2 linked regions of the Nothobranchius furzeri genome follow. Each later gene encodes a partner of the first gene's protein in a complex. Links are inferred from orthologs where the notes say so. Each region holds a gene or a part of one and is shown in the gene's direction. Other genes may lie near its edges. The genes, in order: ap1g1 and ap1s1.

Region 1 (8,413 bases):
ACTCCGTGTATCAATAGAAACGATCTCTTCCTCTGCCAGCTGCAGTAAATGTAGTCTCCAAATAATAAGAGGTGCATTCATCTGTGCATCTCCTTTGATCCACATCAGTGATGTTTTCAGCACCAGAACAGTGAAGCAAAGAAAGATTCCTGAGTTTGTTAGTAATTTTATTTATTAGGTGCATCTAACCTGTTCTATTTTTCTCTGAAATGAGATCAAATCAGTGCTTCTATGGGTTGTCTCCAATGTGCACTGGAAATTTTTACTTTATTTAGAGACTTGTTGCAGAAAATATTCAGAATTCGCAGTTTTTTGCTACCACAAGCGATCTCTGGTCCAGCCGCACATCAGAGCCGTATTTGAGCTTAACTATCCACTACATGAGCAACTGGGAGCTACGTAGTATTTTGAACAAGTTAATGTTTGCACAATACGTTTGCAATTGACATGTTTGCACTTTAAATATGTTTACGATTTTAATTTATGTTAAGTAACTTGAAAAACGAGAAAAACTGATTTTTGTAATTGTTTCTCTCAGGGCTTTTATCATCTCTGGTGTGAGTTTAAAATATAAGTGTGTTAGCACTGTGCTGATTATCCCTAATATGAATAAATGTTTATTTATTCAATGTTTCTCTTCTTTAATACGCAATTGAAGTTATGCTATTCATGGATAAAAAAATCGTGATAAAATCGAAATCGTGATAAAATATTGGAAAAATCGTGATATTCTATTTTTGCCATATCGCCCAGCCCTACGCCAGGCTATTGAGTGCTTTATAAATTAGCAGTAGCAATTTGGAATCTATTCTGCAGTTTACCGATAACCAGTGTAAACATTTAAGAACAGGAGTGATGTGCTTGGTTCTCTTGGTTCTTGTTGAGCCTCTAGCAGCAACATTCTGAATAAGCTGCAGTTGCTTCACAGCTTTTTTTGGGAAGACCAGACGAAGGAGCAATGCAATAGTCCAGCCTGCTGGAGATGAACGCATGAATGAGTTTGTCTAGGTCCTGTCTGGACATGAGACCCCTGTAGGATTATTAGTTTTTTATGCTGAGAAGCTTTACAAAAGAAAAAGTGCTTCAGCTAATTTAGACCTGATGGTTTCACCTATCAGTTATGTTACAAATGAAAGTAGCACGGATTATGTTCACACCTTCATTCTAAATAACATGAGCAACAAACACATGTGGTGTTGAGTTGTTATTGATGTGGACAGTGATCCTGATCCCTCGCTTTCCTCTTTGCTGCCTTCTACTTCATCTTTAGCTCTTTTATCTGTTTTGCTTTCCAGTCGAATCAAGAAAGTGGTTTCGATATATGGCAGCAGCATTGATGTGGAGCTTCAGCAGAGAGCTGTGGAGTACAATGCACTTTTCAAGAAATATGACCACATGAGGTGAAACTTCTCACTTTTAGAAGAAAACAACACTAGCCATCTTTTTGTATCGGCCATTAGCTTTAGGGAAACCAACTTTAACAGTTTGGTTTCGTACGTCCATTCTTGCTTGTCCTCTGATGATAGGTCAGCTCTTCTGGAGCGAATGCCCATCATGGAGAAAACTGCGAGTAATGGCCCTACAGAAATAGTTCAGACAAACGGGGAGACCGATCCTTCTGTGGTGGAAACAAAACATCCTCCTCCAGTAACCCAATCTACAAACCAGGTGAAAACCAATTTTAATGTGTATATATTTCCAAAAATATCTCTATTTTAGTGAAATGAATATACACACAGCAGAGCCTTTATTGTTTAAAGCTGTCATGAACCCAATTAGCGTTTCAGTTCTGAGTTTTTGCAATAAGTGTTTATAATGAATGTTTTAAATTCACATTTTTAATCACTTGATGTGTTCTTGCTCCACAGGCTACCGATTTGCTAGACTTGTTGGGTGGTAATGATATGGTGCCGGTGATCCAGACGTCGGTGCCCACCAAGCCCGCCTCAGCTGGAGGAGAGCTGCTTGATCTTCTGGGTGACCTCTCACTAAGTGGTAGGATGCTCATCTTAAATGATCATGTTCCATCCAGGGTTGTTTCCTTGGTTTAATACGAAGCCCAGTACATTTCACTAATGGTGTTCTGTTTTTCATTAGATGGAAGTTAACCAGTCCCTAAAAGACAGTTTGGATGTTTGGCTTGAATTTGTTTCAGTTTCAGGAACAATTAGAAAAATTTAAATCACTTTTTCAGTAATATTTCCTGTAAATGCTTGAAATGCAAATGTTTGCGTTTGTCCTCCTAAACCCTGGTATGAACCTCCCCCTCCCCTCCCAGGAGGTCCTGCACCTACTCCTGCTCCCTCAGTGCCCACCTCCCAACCCCCTTTTCTGTTGGATGGCCTCTCTTCACAACCCCTGTTTAATGACATTGCAGCTGCAGGTGAGAGGGTGCTGCTCTCAAATAAAGATGCTTATTTAGTGAGGCACCAAGTGGTTTATATTCTTGTACTTTCATAACCTTCCCATTAACAATCTTAACGATCCCGTTTAATCATTTATCCCTCTGAAATGTCTTAGGTATTCCTCCTATGACTGCTTACAACAAGAATGGTCTGAAAATAGACTTTACCTTTGAGAGAGCGAACCCCAACCCAAACATCGCAGTAATCACCATCAATGCATCCAACTCGACAGAAGCAGACATGACCGACTTTGTTTTTCAGGCTGCAGTACCAAAGGTAAGCATGAACAATGCTGCGTTATTATTTAGTTGATTCTCTTTTTATGTTTTGGTACTAATTTAATACAAGTCAGCTCAGGCTAAAGCTTTGCTTATTCTTTATTTGCGTCGATACTGAGATGCCCAACGCCATTATGCTTCGTCACAAGCGTTCTCCAACTCGCTCGCAAGGACAAACGGAGTTGAGCCCACTTTTCTAACCATCTGCTGAAGGTGACAGAGACGTCAAGCCTGTGATTGGTCAGGACGCCGCTCCCTTCATTCGTCTACAGCACCGTCATTCCCTCTCAAAACAATAAAACGAGAGCCGAACATATCTAGCAGCAGACATGGAGCAGATTAAAGAATGTCTCGATACTAACGTTTTCACACCTGTGACTGAGTACAAACTTTTCATTTGTCAGGAAATTACGGGAAATGTTAGTTTAGAGGTGGTGACCGGATGCAGAGGTGGAGGATGAATTTATCCAGGTTTAGAAGTCTGAGATATATAAACACACTAGAGACTGACTGCATTATTGTCAGGATACCCCAGAAAAACGCTACGCCCCCTGCTGTCCTGGCAGAGAATTGCTTCACAACGCTGAAGCCCCCGACTGAGGAGTATAAAAGGAAAACGTCACCATCAGTACGTGTTCATGTGAGCGCTAACTTGCTGACAGGAGAAGTATAAATCAGGCTTAATGGATAATATTTTTACCTGATATCACTCAGAATCTGTGCTTAATGCGTTAGCTGTTATAGTAGGCAGAAAAAAATATTTTATTAGTAATTTTTTGTTTGAAAATGCGGTCATATAAGAATGTAATACCAGTTTAGATTAAACAAAATGACAAAATATTTTTTGGTCCCAAAAATGAAAAAAAAAAAAAAATGTAACATGAAGTTTTGGTCTGTTGATGAGCTTTTAAAGATTTATAAAAGACGGTAGAATTTAACTAAGTCAGAATTTGGTTCAGAGTTTTTTTATTTCTAATTTTGTGAGGCTTTTATCAAACGGTGTAATCTAACTAGGTCTAAACTCAAATTACACACATTCCTAGTTTGTATCCTGTTTGTTGTGTTGATCGTTAAACAAAAAACACCCACATCACACGGCCTTCCCACAGGAGTTCCCCACGGTTCAGTGCTTGGACACTTGTCCTTTGTACTTTCTCTTTGGCTCTTGTCACCTGCGTTGTTTTTTTATCGCTGACATCCAAATGATTCCTAGTCGTCCTTCTTGCAAGAAGACCCCATTAGTGTAGCTAAAAACTGTTTTTCTCTCAAATCTAAACTGATGAAGAAAGACCCCTTTAAACTTAATGTGGCCAAGATTTCTGTTAGCTAGTCAGTCCATCCATTACCACATGAGCAGAGAAATTTCCTCGACTGTCTCCCCAACAAAATTATAAAGGAACCATGATTGATGATCACTCGCCCTCCGAGTTGCAACAGACTCTTGGTTGTTTCTTATTGCAAACTATGTTAGAATAGTTCATCAGACAGATGCTACCAAACTAACCTCGACTGTATCAATGTTCCTCTGGTAGGACTTCCATCATGCTTGGTGAAAGCTCTCCAGATTGTCCAGAATGCCGTAGACATGAGTTGCTTTTCCATTTGTTATTAATCATTATTCTCTCTCTGTTTATCAGACATTCCAGCTGCAGCTTCTCTCCCCCAGCAGCAACGTCGTCCCAGCTCTCAACCAGGGAACTGTCACGCAAGTCATCAGAGTCCTCAACCCACAGAAAGTAAGTTTACAAACTAGTAAACTGAGTTTTTGCCTGTTTGAAGCCCCATTTGTTCACATTTCAAACTTGTTTATTTATTAAACTCAATCGTGCTCGTAAACCTTTCAGCAACAGCTACGAATGAGGATCAAACTGACCTACACGCACAGAGCCTCATCTATCCAAGACCTGGCTGAGGTTAACAACTTCCCTCCACAGTCGTGGCAGTGATGATCAGCGCCCGTTGCTCTTAAGCCCCGTCAAGGGAACTATGAAAATGGATTTTTCCTTTCAACCTCCCACCTTTCTTCCAATGGACACCCCCCACCCCCCTTCCGTGAAGTCATTGCAGACAGCTACCCTCAAGTTGCATGGGAAGCAGCAGAGCGTTGATCACGGGAGAATAACAAAGATGTTACCAAGACCCTGTTGATATTACAAGAATAATTTGGAAAACATATCAATCACTGAACTTTCTTTTTCCTCCTAACTGGTTTCCATAAACTCTTCACTTAATGAGTTGTATTTCCTCTCAGCACCATTACTACACACAGCAGGACACATGCACACCATTCACTGTGGCACACTTTACCTCTGGAGGAAGTGTTGCTTCCTACGGGCACAGCAGGAACCTTTCTTTTTAAATTCCCTTCTTATATGATTGGCTTTGTTTTCATATGTTTTTTAAAAAAACAAACCATCTTACAGGAGAAACCATGAAACATTGAGCATCACTTTGGCCAGTCACATCTGGATTTGAGCTCGAAGATGATTTTTTTTTTTTTTTTTTTTTTTTTATTCTGGTGTTATAAGAGCTGGTTCTTTCTGATAAGAACATCAGAAAACGCGCTCAATTGGGTTTCTTGTGGCCAATTCTGGGAAAAACACTCCGATTTTTCCCTCATTTGTTGTTTCATCTGTAGGGACGCAGCAATTTGTAGATCTGTATATTAAATTTAACATCTCTGAATAGTTTCATTCAGAATTAATACAGCTCTTCAACTTATCAGCATTTGTCTTAAAAGCTCTGCTTTTTAAACTTTTCCTGCATCTGCCTCTTGGTTTACTCCACTTTCAGGTTAGTTTAACCCGGTCGGTTGAATCCCACACACAGTCACGTGTAAATTAAGCTCTATATGAATGTAGTTAACATGCACTGAATGCTCCTTGATTAGTTTCCCCCCTCACGCTCATCCTAGCGGCACTGTTTTTGTGAACATTTGTTTTGTTTCTGCAGTTCTTAATTTATGCCTGATATCTAAGTGATGTGCCTTTCTGACTCGGCTAAATCAAAGCCCCTGAGCTTTTTGAGTTCTGTACGAGCGTCGTCGTATGATTGTGTGATGATCGAACCGAACTGGCGAATCGCATCATATACATTTTACTTGTATCTAATATTGGCCCACATGCTCAGAGTCCCACTTATATCAGTCCAATTTTTTCTTAATTTTCTTTTTTGTCAAATAAAAATATATATTTAAAAAAAAAGAGCTGAATGACTATAAAATTTAAAAAACTGGAAATTTAAAATAATGGCAGCTAATAGATGAAAAGTTTCATTATTTGGCTTCAGAGTTTTTCTGAGATAAAAAAAATCAAGAATATCATATCAGTCCAATCTTTAACCCAAAACATAAGCAGGAGAAGCTGGATTTTGGAATAGGTACTCGTCTTTAAATCAGATTCATGACCACGCTGTCATCTGGGATGGATAGAAACCTTAATACCTCACAATATTTCTTCTTTCTCTTAACTTTTTAGCGGTGGTAAATGAAATTTTGTTCAGTCGTGAGTTTCAGTTAAACGAAGCGTCTGCATGAGGAAGACTAGACGCTAACAGTGGTTTTCACATCTCGTTCCTGGTGCAGCCTGGCCATGCTGTGTATCACTCTTGTCACTATGCTTCACTATCTTTTAACTTTTGTGACCAAATCAGAGATACTATTAGCTTTGGAAATATTTTTGAGCTATATGTGTATATGGAGAAATCTTTAGGCTGAACTTTTTGTTTCCTGTTCTTGAGAAAATGCTATATTGGCTTTGTTTTTTCTGTACATATTGAGGGCTTTTACAATTTTGTCTAATGTACTATCTTTCATCCTTTTTTTAGATACCATTTTCTAAACGAAACGAGATAAAATTCAAATATTCACAATGTATATTGTCTAAATAGGTTTAGCTGGCATCAGTCTGAGGAGATTTTCCTGTCACCGCTCACTTATTGTAAACGAGTTCTGATCTGCTGCCTGTACATTGTATATAGTTGTAAAACACTGATCAAATTAAATAAAATCCACGTAAAAGATTAGCTTAAAAGTATAATTGTATGCATATATGTACAAAATTAACCTGAAATGATGCAATTGAGCTGCGTATAATTTACGATACTTTTATCTCAGCGATTGGATGCGTTATCTTCTACGAAGTGAGTCGGAAGGCAACACGGTGTGTTTCTATAAGAGCTGAATCTGAACAGCTGTACTACTGAGGAGAGTGAGCACAAGTGGCACTTTGCTTTGTCTGCTTCCCTGCCCCTCACACACCTCATAGATCCTCGTTTGTGTCCGTACCCTCTTGAGGGGGAGCAGCTCTTTTGCCAAGAAGCGTCTCTTCCATTTGGCCTTACATGCGCTCTTGACATTTTCTCTTCATCCTGCAAACTGTTGTGTGATGTGCTGCCCTTTGGTTTTGGTGTTTTCTTTTTGCTTTCCCTGCTTCCTGTGTTTTCTGCATCTTCCAAGCAAGCAAATCAAGGACACTAGAAAAAAAAGATTTTAAATTGCCGTCATGATTAGTAGGTTTAAGTTGCTGTCATTTTGTCTTCATGGCACATTTTTTTTGTTTGTAATATGTAAAAATCCTGATTTAAAAGGTTAAATAAGATCACTCACTAGTTGAATCGATGAAAGACAGACGAGGCGATTAGGATGTAAATTTTTTTTATAGCTTGATTTAATTCCATTTTTTCTTCATCAAAACAAACCAGGAAAAGCTTGTTAATGCTCACAAGGGGGAGAAAGGAACTTTAAAACATCTATTCCTTAGTGTTTGTCATTTGTATCGTCTTATTCCACCTCTATGTACCCTTTTTAATCTAATCAGATCAAACGTGTAATCTGTACTAATTGAAGTGAGCCCAACACAAGTGCTTTGAACACTATTAACTTTGGAGGGGGAAAAGTGGCCATCAGAGGTGTGTGTGTGTGTGTGTGTGTGTGTGTGTGTGTCAGAAGATGATCGCATTTGAGAGTGTGTGATGCGGGAAACTTGTCTTTTGTCTACATAGGACTTAATTTTTGGCTGCATTTTCAACTTCTGAGCTGCATGTGAAAAACTGTAAATAAGGCCATTTCTACTCTTGACGAAAAACCTATTTTTTTTTCTTTTGCAAATGCAAGAAAAGTTTAAATATTGAAATCTGTCACGCCCCTTTTATGGGTCAGTACTAACGTACAATTAGAAGTTGTTCAGGAAGCGCTCACAATTTTGTTACTGCTTTGTTTTGTTTTATTGTTTAGAGCAAGTTCAAATCCATAGTGTGGATTACTTGGACTTTTTTTTCCCATGAAATTGCTGAGTAAAGGGCTTGGAAGAGCAACTAAATAACCACCATGATTATTTTACCTGTTCAATTAAAAAATGCATCTACTGTAACATAATCTGGATCTCCTTCCCTCCTCCGAGGCCTGTCCTGACTGAAAATAAAACGATGTCTGGAGCCTTCTTTTTGGTTTTGATCTTTATTTTTCTGTTTTAGTTTTTTTTCTTCTTTTTGTGGAGTGATGAAAGGCACGAGTTAGACTTTTTTCCTCATCAGCTGGACACATCGAACTGCTTCCCAGTTCTGTGGCTTGAAGGAGTGTGAATGCAGGACTGAAAATATGAAATGATTCGTAAAGATGAAAAGTTGTAAACTATTAAATGGAATATTTTCAATTTCATGCTGTGTATTCTTGTCTTTGGGTTGGAGAAAATGATCAAGCGAATAAAACGTGAAATAAAAACAAAGCTGAAC
Region 2 (10,163 bases), on another chromosome or scaffold:
TTGATTATAATATCGAATATCATATTGTCGGCGTCGTCGTCTTCCTCCGCTGATCCGGGTCCGGGTCGTGGGGGCAGCATCCCAACTAGGGAGCTCCAGACCGTCCTCTCCCTGGCCACCTCCACCAGCTCCTCCGGAAGGGACCCCAAGGCGTTCCCGGACCAGATTGGAGATGTAACCTCTCCAACGTGTCCTGGGTCGACCCGGGGGCCTCCTGCTGGCAGGACATGCCCGAAACACCTCCCCGGGGAGGCGTCCAGGAGGCATCCTGACCAGATGCCCAAACCACCTCAACTGACTCCTTTCGATCCGGAGGAGCAGCGGTTCTACTCCGAGTCCCTCCCGAATGTCCGAGCTCCTCACCCTATCTCTAAGGCTGAGCCCGGCCACCCTACAGAGGAAACTAATTTCGGCCGCTTGTATCCGCGATCTCGTTCTTTCGGTCATTACCCAAAGCTTATGACCATAGGTGAGGATTGGGACGTAGATCGACCGGTAAAGCGAGAGCCTGGCTTTCTGGCTCAGCTCCCTCTTCACCACGACAGATCAGCTCAGCGTCCGCATCACTGCAGACGCCGAACCAATCCGCCTGTCGATCTCCCGATCCCTCCTACCCTCACTCGTGAACAAGACCCTGAGATACTTAAACTCCTCCACTTGAGGTAGGACCTCTCTCCCGACCCGGAGTTGGCAAGCCACCCTTTTCCGGTCGAGAACCATGGTCTCACCTTGGAGGTGCTGATCCTCATCCCAGCCGCTTCACACTTGGCCGCGAACCTACCCACAGTCCAAAAACATGACTGTTAGGGTGATTGGTATGTCTAAATTGTCCTTAGGTGTGAGTGTGTGTGTGTGAGTGTCCTGTGTGTCTCTGTGTTGCCCTGCGATGGACTGGCTCTCTGTCCAGGGTGTACCCTGCCTGATTGCCCATTGACCGCTGGAGATAGGCACCAGCCCCGCCACCCCCCCCCCCCCCCCCGATAATATAATATAACATATCATAAGATAATATAATATCTTATAGTATGATATGATATGATATGATATGATATGATATGATATGATAGGCCCTTCGTTAGCTTCATTGAAGTCTATTCCTAAAGTCCACTACGAATTCTATGCATTTGATTGTTGATCCTATTACTTAGAATGTTTGCTGTGGTACTTCTTATTTTCACGCTCCATTTTTCCCTGCTGAGCTAAGCCGAAAGGCAAAGCTCTCCATTCACCGGTCGATCTACGTTCCTACCCTCACCTATGGTCACAAGCTTTGGGTAGTGACCGAAAGAACGAGATCACAAACACAAGCAGCCAAAAATGAGTTTTCTCCGCTAGGAGTCTGGGCTCTCCCTCAGACCTAGGGCGAGAAGCTCAGTCATCCAGGAGGGTCCTGGAATAGATTTGTTGCTCCTCTAATCTGGTTAGGATGCCTCCTGGACGCCAGCCTGACCTGCCAGAGTCCTCCTCTGTTTAATTCTGCACAGTCTGGGAACTATCCTATATAAACAGCCCCGCCCCCTGAGAATTCTAACCGAGCCAATCAGCGCTGAGTAGCGTACGTCACACACCATAACGCCGAGTTTGTCATAAACATGGCGACTGAAGCAGAGTTCTCTGCAGCTGTTTCCTCTGTTCTAAATGACTTGGACACGTCTTTAAAACCACAACAAGTAGAAGCGCTAAAAGCCTTTCTTCTAAAGAAAGATATTTGCGCTGTGCAGAATTAAACAGGAAGAAGTCTGGCAGGGCAGGCTACCTGCCTCCCTGCTGAGGTGTTCCAGGAACGTCAGACTGAGAGGAGATCCAAAAGAAGACCCAGGACACGCTGAGGGGACTGTCTCTTGGCTGGCCAGGGAACGCCTTGGGCTTCACTCGGAGGAGCTGGCCCAACCGGCTGGGAAGAGGGAAGTCTGGGCCTCTTGGCTACGGCTGCTGCCCCCGAGACCCGACCCTGAATAAGCAGCTGAAAACGGATGGTTGGATGGACTCCATATTTTATTTCAATCCTTCTTTTGAATTATTGCCGTACTGTTTTTATGTTCAGCACTTTAGTCAGCTGTTGCGTAGTTTTTAAATGTGCTATTTAAAAAAAAAAACGTGGTATGGTCTTTCAGATTATTAATTTCTTTTTAAAAGAGTACCTCATATCACTGAAGGGTCTGAAATCCAGCAAAGGTGGAAGGGTCAGCATGACAAAAGATGGTTTAATCTAATTAGACCCATAAACCAGAACCAATCAGACATTCTTTTATGTATGCTAATAATTCAGTATTCATGGAAGTCCCATGATTTTATTGGTTATTTAAAAAGGAGTCTGTTTCAGTGTATAAATGATCGCCCACACACTGGCTGGTGTAAAATCCCCTGCTTCTGGTAGTAAGTTGATGAAGAGCCCCACTCTGTGGTCATATCTCTTCACTGTTTTCATGGGACTTTGTTTTTTCTCCCAGGTGGGAGTTTTAAGACATCGGTCGACGGTTCTCAGTAAGGACAGTTTAGATAGGGGGAACAGGATTACAGGTACAGAAAACACACCGCAGGAAAATTCATGAACACTATAAATTCATGTCAGTGAATGTGAATGGTCAAAGCAGTCCTATAAAAAAGTAAGATGATAGCTTTTTTTTGTTCAATTTGTTTTTTCAACATTTAGCTCAGATTTTCTAACAAGAAGAGCTGAAAAGTATAACCACAAATGGCACAAAACCAGCCTATACGTACGCCAATGACATATTGGTAAAACTCCCAAATCCAGGCTCTAGCATACCTTTGTTCATGCCCTCAGAGAGGAAGGAGGTATCACACCCGTTTTATTTAATTTTATTCACACCCAAAATGTAATCATCCAGTATTTGTGAGTTCTCATACCAAAGTCCTCTCCCACCGTTTTGATAATAAGTAGCTACAAAAGAATCACAAAGGAAATCATCAGGACAATGTGGTACAGCCAGAGGTGGAAAGAGTACTAAAATTTCCTACACAAGTATGAGTACCAATACTTTGATTATTTTTACTCAAGTACAAGTAAAAGTATTTAAACATTAGACAATAATTTTATAAGCAATAAACAGTAAAAAGGAGAAAAAAGAAACACAAATGAAGGAAAAAAGTCTTAGCCCAAAGGGAGTGGGAAGAAGCGAGTGTTTACTCAGTCCCACCCCCTCGCCACACACTAAAACAAACCATGTACATATTTAATACACATTTCAGGATCGTTACATAAATGATCCGCACTTATATAGCGCCCCTCAGAGTAAGGACTCCAAAGCGCTTTACACTACAGTGAATCAATCATTCATCCATTCACACACACACACACACATTCATACACTGGTGGGGATGAGCTACGATGTAGCCACAGCTGCCCTGGGGCGCACTGACAGAGGCGACATACATATCATTACAATAATAAATATACAAATAAGAACATATATGAATGTTTTCTCTCACTGTGTGTGTGTGTGTGTGTGTGTGTGTGTGTGTGTGTGTGTGTGTGTGTGTGTGTGTGTGTGTGTGTGTGTGTGTGTTTCGTGCATGCAATTTCTTTCAGCTTTTTTGTACTGTTATATACCCTCCTCTATGATAATTCATTTGTTTGACAATAAAAGAGGCCTCGAATGTGTAATAGTGCAAAAAGCGGAGTCTGAAGTGCGCATGCTCAGTGGAGGCGGAAGTGCTCGGTACGGTGGTACCTCTCGTTCGGCTGTGTCCTGTTAGACACGGAGATGGACTTTTATCGTTAATTATCGTCTGAGCTACTAACTTCAGGCTGCACAGGGTGTCTGTGACGTTGGGGGCACGTTCAGAATGGTGAGTTGATGCGTCTCAATCGGTGGAAAGTGCCGGGTGCTAACTTGTGCTAATGCCGATAAGGTGTCAGCAATTCAGGAAGTGCCCACCTGCGCTCCGCTCACCTGGCGAACGGGCCTGGAGAGGGGAGACGACCCGGATCATGGTGCCGTTCTTACTGTGGGCTAAGTCGCTGTTGCTTGGTTGAGGTGTTTTAAGACCCGCTCCCTTCCTCAGCTTCAGTTCCAGGATTCGATTCAGCTCAATGCGTTTATTTAGTTACACGACACCAGCACACAAGATCCAACCCGTTCCCGTTCATGTTCGGGTCGATGGCACTTCCAGTCAGTGAGTTCCGTTCACTTCTCGCTAAAGCCGATTCATTCTAAAAGGCCGAATGTTCTCGGATGGAGTATTCATTCTTCACTTAAGCCGTTTGGGTTTTCAGACCCATCTTGCCAAAACTGACATAGAATAGAAAAATAAAAGGCGGGAATAAATTATAAATAAATGACAAAATGCAGAAAAAATAGCTATTTTAAATAGTTGGTAAGAAATATGTTTATTTCCACATTTATGTATCGGTCCTTGTCAGGTGACATATGGGGTGCTGTAGCGCGTTGCATGATGGAATAGCTAGGTGTCTGAACAAAGGAAGCTTTGTGAGCTAAACCCGGTACACCTGTTGTGTGAAAGGCGGCCATGCCACCTTCACAAGAAGGCAAAAAATAAAATGTAGGCTGGAGTCGTGTTAACTGGATATTTTCTGTATTTAACCGTTCAGTTTTTGACAGAAATCTCAAGGCTGTTGGTCATTCTGACAGACAGGAATTACTCTGACGCGTGCAGTTGTGCAGACATTTTAAACGTTCTGCACGGAGAACATCGCAGAGGTAACGAGATCCATCAGACGATTCCCATCAGAACATCTGAGCATTATTTGTCAGCTGCAGCTTACCCTAGCAATGCCAGTCATACACCTAAAATGGCGCTAAAGAGGTGTGGTTGACATGCAGGTCACGTGTCTGACAAGGACCGATTAATGCATTCAGTTATAAATACTGTCCTAAAGCATGATTGGTCAACCAATCATCTTCCAAGAAATTCACACAACCCTCCATTCTCTGCCCTCTGAACGATGTGTTGTTAGTGCTCTTTAATGCGGACTTATTAGGGATGCATGTTTACCAACATTTCTTTAAAAGGCTATTGATGCCCCTTAATGGTTAATAGCCGGTTAACTAGAAACCAACCAATGGTGGTGCTGATTACTGGTGGAACACCGGTGTTTCGACTCTCTGTGCTGCTCGTCGAAATGTGCTACTTTGGGGAAATACGCATGAGCAGATGGATTACTTCATCACAGGTTTACCTGAAACGCGCTACTATGACTGGGCGATATGGCCTAAAATCAACATTGTTATGTGCCCGTCCCATTTATCGGTTCCTTTAAAACCCAGTTCCGTTAGAACTTATGAGACGGAGCATCCATCAGGGTTCGATGGGGATGTCGGTGAGTATTATGGTATTAGATCCTGGTTTGGGCGTCCTAAGTTAGAATCATATCTTTTATTTTAAAGGTGAAATAATATGTAAGACCTTTCCTTCTGTAGTAGCTCACTTCTTTTTAAGCAATCCCGTTATCTTAAGGTTTCTTTATATCAATCTGTCACAAACCGTAAAGTAAGTCCTGATAATTCCAGAACCCATAATTAATGTGCTTACCTCTGTGCAATTAATGATCAGGGCTTCCACTCATGAAGCTTTAGAGAAAACCTGAAAGAATCAGGATTATGTTTCTTTTTCAAAAAAGGTTTATTACAAAATCAAAATACAAAAATGGGTAAATAAAAAACAACTGCTATCCCCCAAGGAGGAATTAGTTCAAAATGATTAAAAAAGAGTTAGTTTACACTAGCTCCTGTCTTCTCAGAATGAAAACTCCCAAGTTACCTCTTCCAAAAAAGTCTGTCATCCCCCATCCAGGTTTGGACGGGGGATGACCCCTCCAAATCTGCTCTGTCTCTTCTTGTCCTCTGCCCCAGCTGCTGTCCGCTCTCAATCTATATATCTCTGCTGTTCAGAGCTGTTCTTATATACCCTTCCTGGGCCAGCTTTAGGTCATGGGGTCATTTACCAGATACACACTTTGTAGCTCAACACAAAACATTTGGTGTCATTACATGCAGCATTCTTCTTAACACAGGTCATTACATCATCTTTTGCAGCATTCTTCAGTTTCTCTCCAATGTTCCCGAGAGGGCTTCTGGATCTGATGGGCTTGTCTTCACTCTGTTCTCCTCCAATCCCATCTTTCCAAGCCAGGGGTGGGGCAAAGAGGTTGGGTCAGTCAACCTGACCTTTCGCCCAGTTCTGTCCTCGTCCCTGTGACCCTTGTGTGACCCTTGTTTCTGACCACAGTTTTTTGACCTGCAGCCCAACTCATGTCGGCTGGCTGATTTTGCTCGCACAAGCCAGTCCAGTGTGTTTCAGCTTGCCACTGTCTTTGGCATGTGGGGACTCGCAACATCCCCCATGCGAGAAAAATCTAGCCAGGGGACTGCAGCAGCCTTCTTTGAGGTGGGGCTGCCTCCTCCTCTGGATCATCTTCATCTCCAGTCTCAGAGCCAGAGTCTGACTAGCTCAGAGTCCAGATACACACCATCATCATCATCATCATCACTCACTTCAGTCTCAGAAGAACCAGAGGGTTCAGATCTGGGTTCCTGCTTCACCACCAGTTTCAGCTGCCATCTGGTCAGCTGAGCTGCTGGTTGGAACATCTCAGTCTCCACCTTCAAGCAGAGACTCTCTCCCTCCAGACTGAAGACATTTTTTACTGCAGAGCTTCAAATATTCTCCTCACACACCTGAACAGCAACAAGCTAACTCTGCTTGCAGCTGCTGGTGGGAAGCTTACGCTAAAAACTATAAAGTGTGGCAAGGTGGACAAATGAGGGCCCGGGCGGGATTCGATCCCGGGACCTTCGGGGTGTGAGTCATACGCTCTAACCACTCAGCCAAAGGGACATCCCCTTATCCAACTGGCCAGGGCGCATGATCAATCAAGACATTGTGACAGAACGCTCACACTGTCACACCTTCCCCCCTCTTTCCACAAGCGCGTCCTCGTACTCCCGCGCAGGGTGCCACAAACTTCACATCCACGGACCTACTTGACAGTACTACATGGATCCTGCCAACAACACCAAATGTGGCAAGGTTAAAAATGCTTACGCCTTATTAGTGTAGCTGTGTGTCAGGTCAGAATCATACGGAGCTGTTAGTTCAGGACTCTCCCTTCTCAACAGAACTAGTAGGGGGAGGGGTGATGTCACCACATCCTGCACATTCCGCTTGTCACTTGTTGCTCAGCTGACTGGGTGCTTTTTCTTTGTTCAGCTGCGGCTTCTCATATCTGCAGGCTGCCGAGAGCGGAAGCTAGGTGCTTGTCTCAAGCAGATCCTCTAAAAACAAAGTTTAATTGGAGCAGAGTTCCAATGCTCCCAGTTATAAGTCCGTCCTTTACAGGCGGCACGGTTTCTCTCCTCACGCAGCCCTTAAGCACAGAGGTTCACACATTATACATGTTCCCGGCTTCTAGCCTCCATTGCGCGTGACGATGCCCGACATGAGATTCTGTGAAGCTAGGAAACATGATTACTTTACAGTTCGTGACAAATACCTCCCCGTGTTACCAGAAACGAGGCCCAAGTCACACAGATTCTTACATATCAGTCCTTCACTAGATTTTGATCCAGCCATGACGTTTAATCGCATCTCACTTGTGCCTCAGCACCCGGACAGCGCCCCGCCGCAGCTCCATACTAGCTTTTCCAGCCTCATTCTAAAGCTCCGGTTACAGGATACTGAAAGATCTATCTGCCATAGCTGGTTAAAAGTTTTTCTTATTTTTATTTATTTTATTTTTTGCCTAGCTTTTATCCTTGGCTTTTCTTGCGTCGGAATGCCGTGATTTCTTTATACCTTTTTAAGTTGATCGTCCGTTCTCCCAGTTTCTTTCCTTTTCGAGAAATTGGTGCGGTTCTCACTCCAAGGTTATAAAATTATCCGGTCCATAGCGCGTAAGCTTTTATCAGCCTAAAAGACAGTTCTACGTCGGATAGCCCGGTATCTAATATTTAGACCTTCACTCCGTAGCCCCACGTTTGGCGCGCCATGTTATGTGCCCGTCCCATTTATCGGTTCCTTTAAAACCCAGTTCCGTTAGAACTTATGAGACGGAGCATCCATCAGGGTTCGATGGGGATGTCGGTGAGTATTATGGTATTAGATCCTGGTTTGGGCGTCCTAAGTTAGAATCATATCTTTTATTTTAAAGGTGAAATAATATGTAAGACCTTTCCTTCTGTAGTAGCTCACTTCTTTTTAAGCAATCCCGTTATCTTAAGGTTTCTTTATATCAATCTGTCACAAACCGTAAAGTAAGTCCTGATAATTCCAGAACCCATAATTAATGTGCTTACCTCTGTGCAATTAATGATCAGGGCTTCCACTCATGAAGCTTTAGAGAAAACCTGAAAGAATCAGGATTATGTTTCTTTTTCAAAAAAGGTTTATTACAAAATCAAAATACAAAAATGGGTAAATAAAAAACAACTGCTATCCCCCAAGGAGGAATTAGTTCAAAATGATTAAAAAAGAGTTAGTTTACACTAGCTCCTGTCTTCTCAGAATGAAAACTCCCAAGTTACCTCTTCCAAAAAAGTCTGTCATCCCCCATCCAGGTTTGGACGGGGGATGACCCCTCCAAATCTGCTCTGTCTCTTCTTGTCCTCTGCCCCAGCTGCTGTCCGCTCTCAATCTATATATCTCTGCTGTTCAGAGCTGTTCTTATATACCCTTCCTGGGCCAGCTTTAGGTCATGGGGTCATTTACCAGATACACACTTTGTAGCTCAACACAAAACATTTGGTGTCATTACATGCAGCATTCTTCTTAACACAGGTCATTACATCATCTTTTGCAGCATTCTTCAGTTTCTCTCCAATGTTCCCGAGAGGGCTTCTGGATCTGATGGGCTTGTCTTCACTCTGTTCTCCTCCAATCCCATCTTTCCAAGCCAGGGGTGGGGCAAAGAGGTTGGGTCAGTCAACCTGACCTTTCGCCCAGTTCTGTCCTCGTCCCTGTGACCCTTGTGTGACCCTTGTTTCTGACCACAGTTTTTTGACCTGCAGCCCAACTCATGTCGGCTGGCTGATTTTGCTCGCACAAGCCAGTCCAGTGTGTTTCAGCTTGCCACTGTCTTTGGCATGTGGGGACTCGCAACAACATCACGATATTTTGAGGATTTCACCTCGATAACAATAAACGGACGATAACTACATGTAAGCGCAGAATGCATTCCTTCGTGGGGGTTTGTTGCCGCTCAAGGCTACCAGGGCGTCAGATTCAGATAACAAGACTTTGTTTGGGTCAGGCTGAGATAATTTTCCTCTCTGCCTTCAGTCTTTAAACTGATCATTCCAGTCCTTCAGTGAAGCCAATTTTGGGTTTTTAAACCTGTCCATACCGTCCGGTGACTCCCTCCGAGATGACATCCATTTTGCGCACTAATACCGGTAGCGTAGCTAGAACATTGTCCAGCTTACGATTCACCTCGAGTAACGTCCCAGTCTGAGAAGTCTCCATACGGACGGTGCTTTCCGTGGGTGCGGGTCGCCCTCCAATCGCTCCCGTCTTCCCAAATTTCCAGGAAACCAGATATCCTCCAACTCCAATCAGGAGAAATCCAGTGACCATCAGGTCGAATATCCACACGTCTTCGATGTCCTCCATGGACAGCTGGCTGAGGCATACGATCTTCCACTCCTTCCAGGAATCCAGCGTATATCCCACCGGGTGTGTCCCCTGTGGACATGTGGGAGCCCCCTGCCCCGTTCTCATTGTTGAAAAAATCTTATCGATCACATTGAATGACCAATTCATCAACTCCATGGTTAGTAAAAAATAGGGTTTTTCAGAAGAAATGCAGAGAAGCGCTCTGGGCAGACAGGACAAAGAGCCTTGGGAAAAACAGGATAAGGGAGCGACAAGAGAGAAACGTCTGTACTCCTCGAGTGTCAGGAAGAAGGATTTCACCTCACAAGGATTTCATTTTTGCTAGTAATTATACTACAGTTCTGTATGTTTGCATAATATTAACTATTTAAAATAAACCATGCTTAATAAATGTGTTATACTGTAAACAAGAGCAAAACTGTTATAACAAACTGGAATATTTGACAAAGAAGCACACAGTCAGAACACCGGCTCTACTCCAACCCCTCACCAATATCCAAGCTCTTCACTTAACAACCTGCCTATAAGGATGGGTGGGCATGGCCAGCAGCAGCTTATTCATGTATTTTAAA

What was found.
Region 2: the proteins of ap1g1 (region 1) and ap1s1 are in contact, whole or in part, in a crystal structure (PDB 1W63), measured with the Mus musculus proteins. The link is inferred for Nothobranchius furzeri from reciprocal best matches to the Homo sapiens genes AP1G1 and AP1S1. Residues at the interface, in NP_001288140.1 of Mus musculus: Leu7, Arg8, Ile11, Arg12, Arg15, Leu54, Tyr55, His57, Met58, Gly60, Tyr61, Lys78, Phe79, Thr80, Arg83, Ile84, Leu87, Met90, Leu91, Asp94, Glu95, Thr115, Phe117, Leu123, Cys124, Gly127, Cys128, Tyr152, Lys155, Lys156; in NP_031483.1 of Mus musculus: Met1, Leu14, Arg15, Leu16, Gln17, Lys18, Trp19, Leu21, Ala22, Thr23, Asp25, Arg28, Lys29, Arg42, Lys45, Met46, Cys47, Ser48, Phe49, Glu51, Lys56, Gln74, Asp75, Asn76, Glu77, Leu78, Ile79, Leu81, Glu82, Leu83.

Annotation. Positions count from the first base shown.
Region 1 is NC_091749.1:59,356,770-59,365,182, reverse strand, and holds the end of ap1g1 (AP-1 complex subunit gamma-1), read left to right. Parts: intron 1-1,295; coding exon 1,296-1,400; intron 1,401-1,526; coding exon 1,527-1,668; intron 1,669-1,868; coding exon 1,869-1,995; intron 1,996-2,278; coding exon 2,279-2,383; intron 2,384-2,520; coding exon 2,521-2,681; intron 2,682-4,320; coding exon 4,321-4,419; intron 4,420-4,527; coding exon 4,528-4,629; 3' UTR 4,630-4,858; downstream 4,859-8,413. UniProt on the Homo sapiens protein: Subunit of clathrin-associated adaptor protein complex 1 that plays a role in protein sorting in the late-Golgi/trans-Golgi network (TGN) and/or endosomes.
Region 2 is NC_091743.1:88,613,316-88,623,478, forward strand, and holds the start of ap1s1 (AP-1 complex subunit sigma-1A), read left to right. Parts: upstream 1-3,660; 5' UTR 3,661-3,807; coding exon 3,808-3,810; intron 3,811-10,163. UniProt on the Homo sapiens protein: Subunit of clathrin-associated adaptor protein complex 1 that plays a role in protein sorting in the late-Golgi/trans-Golgi network (TGN) and/or endosomes.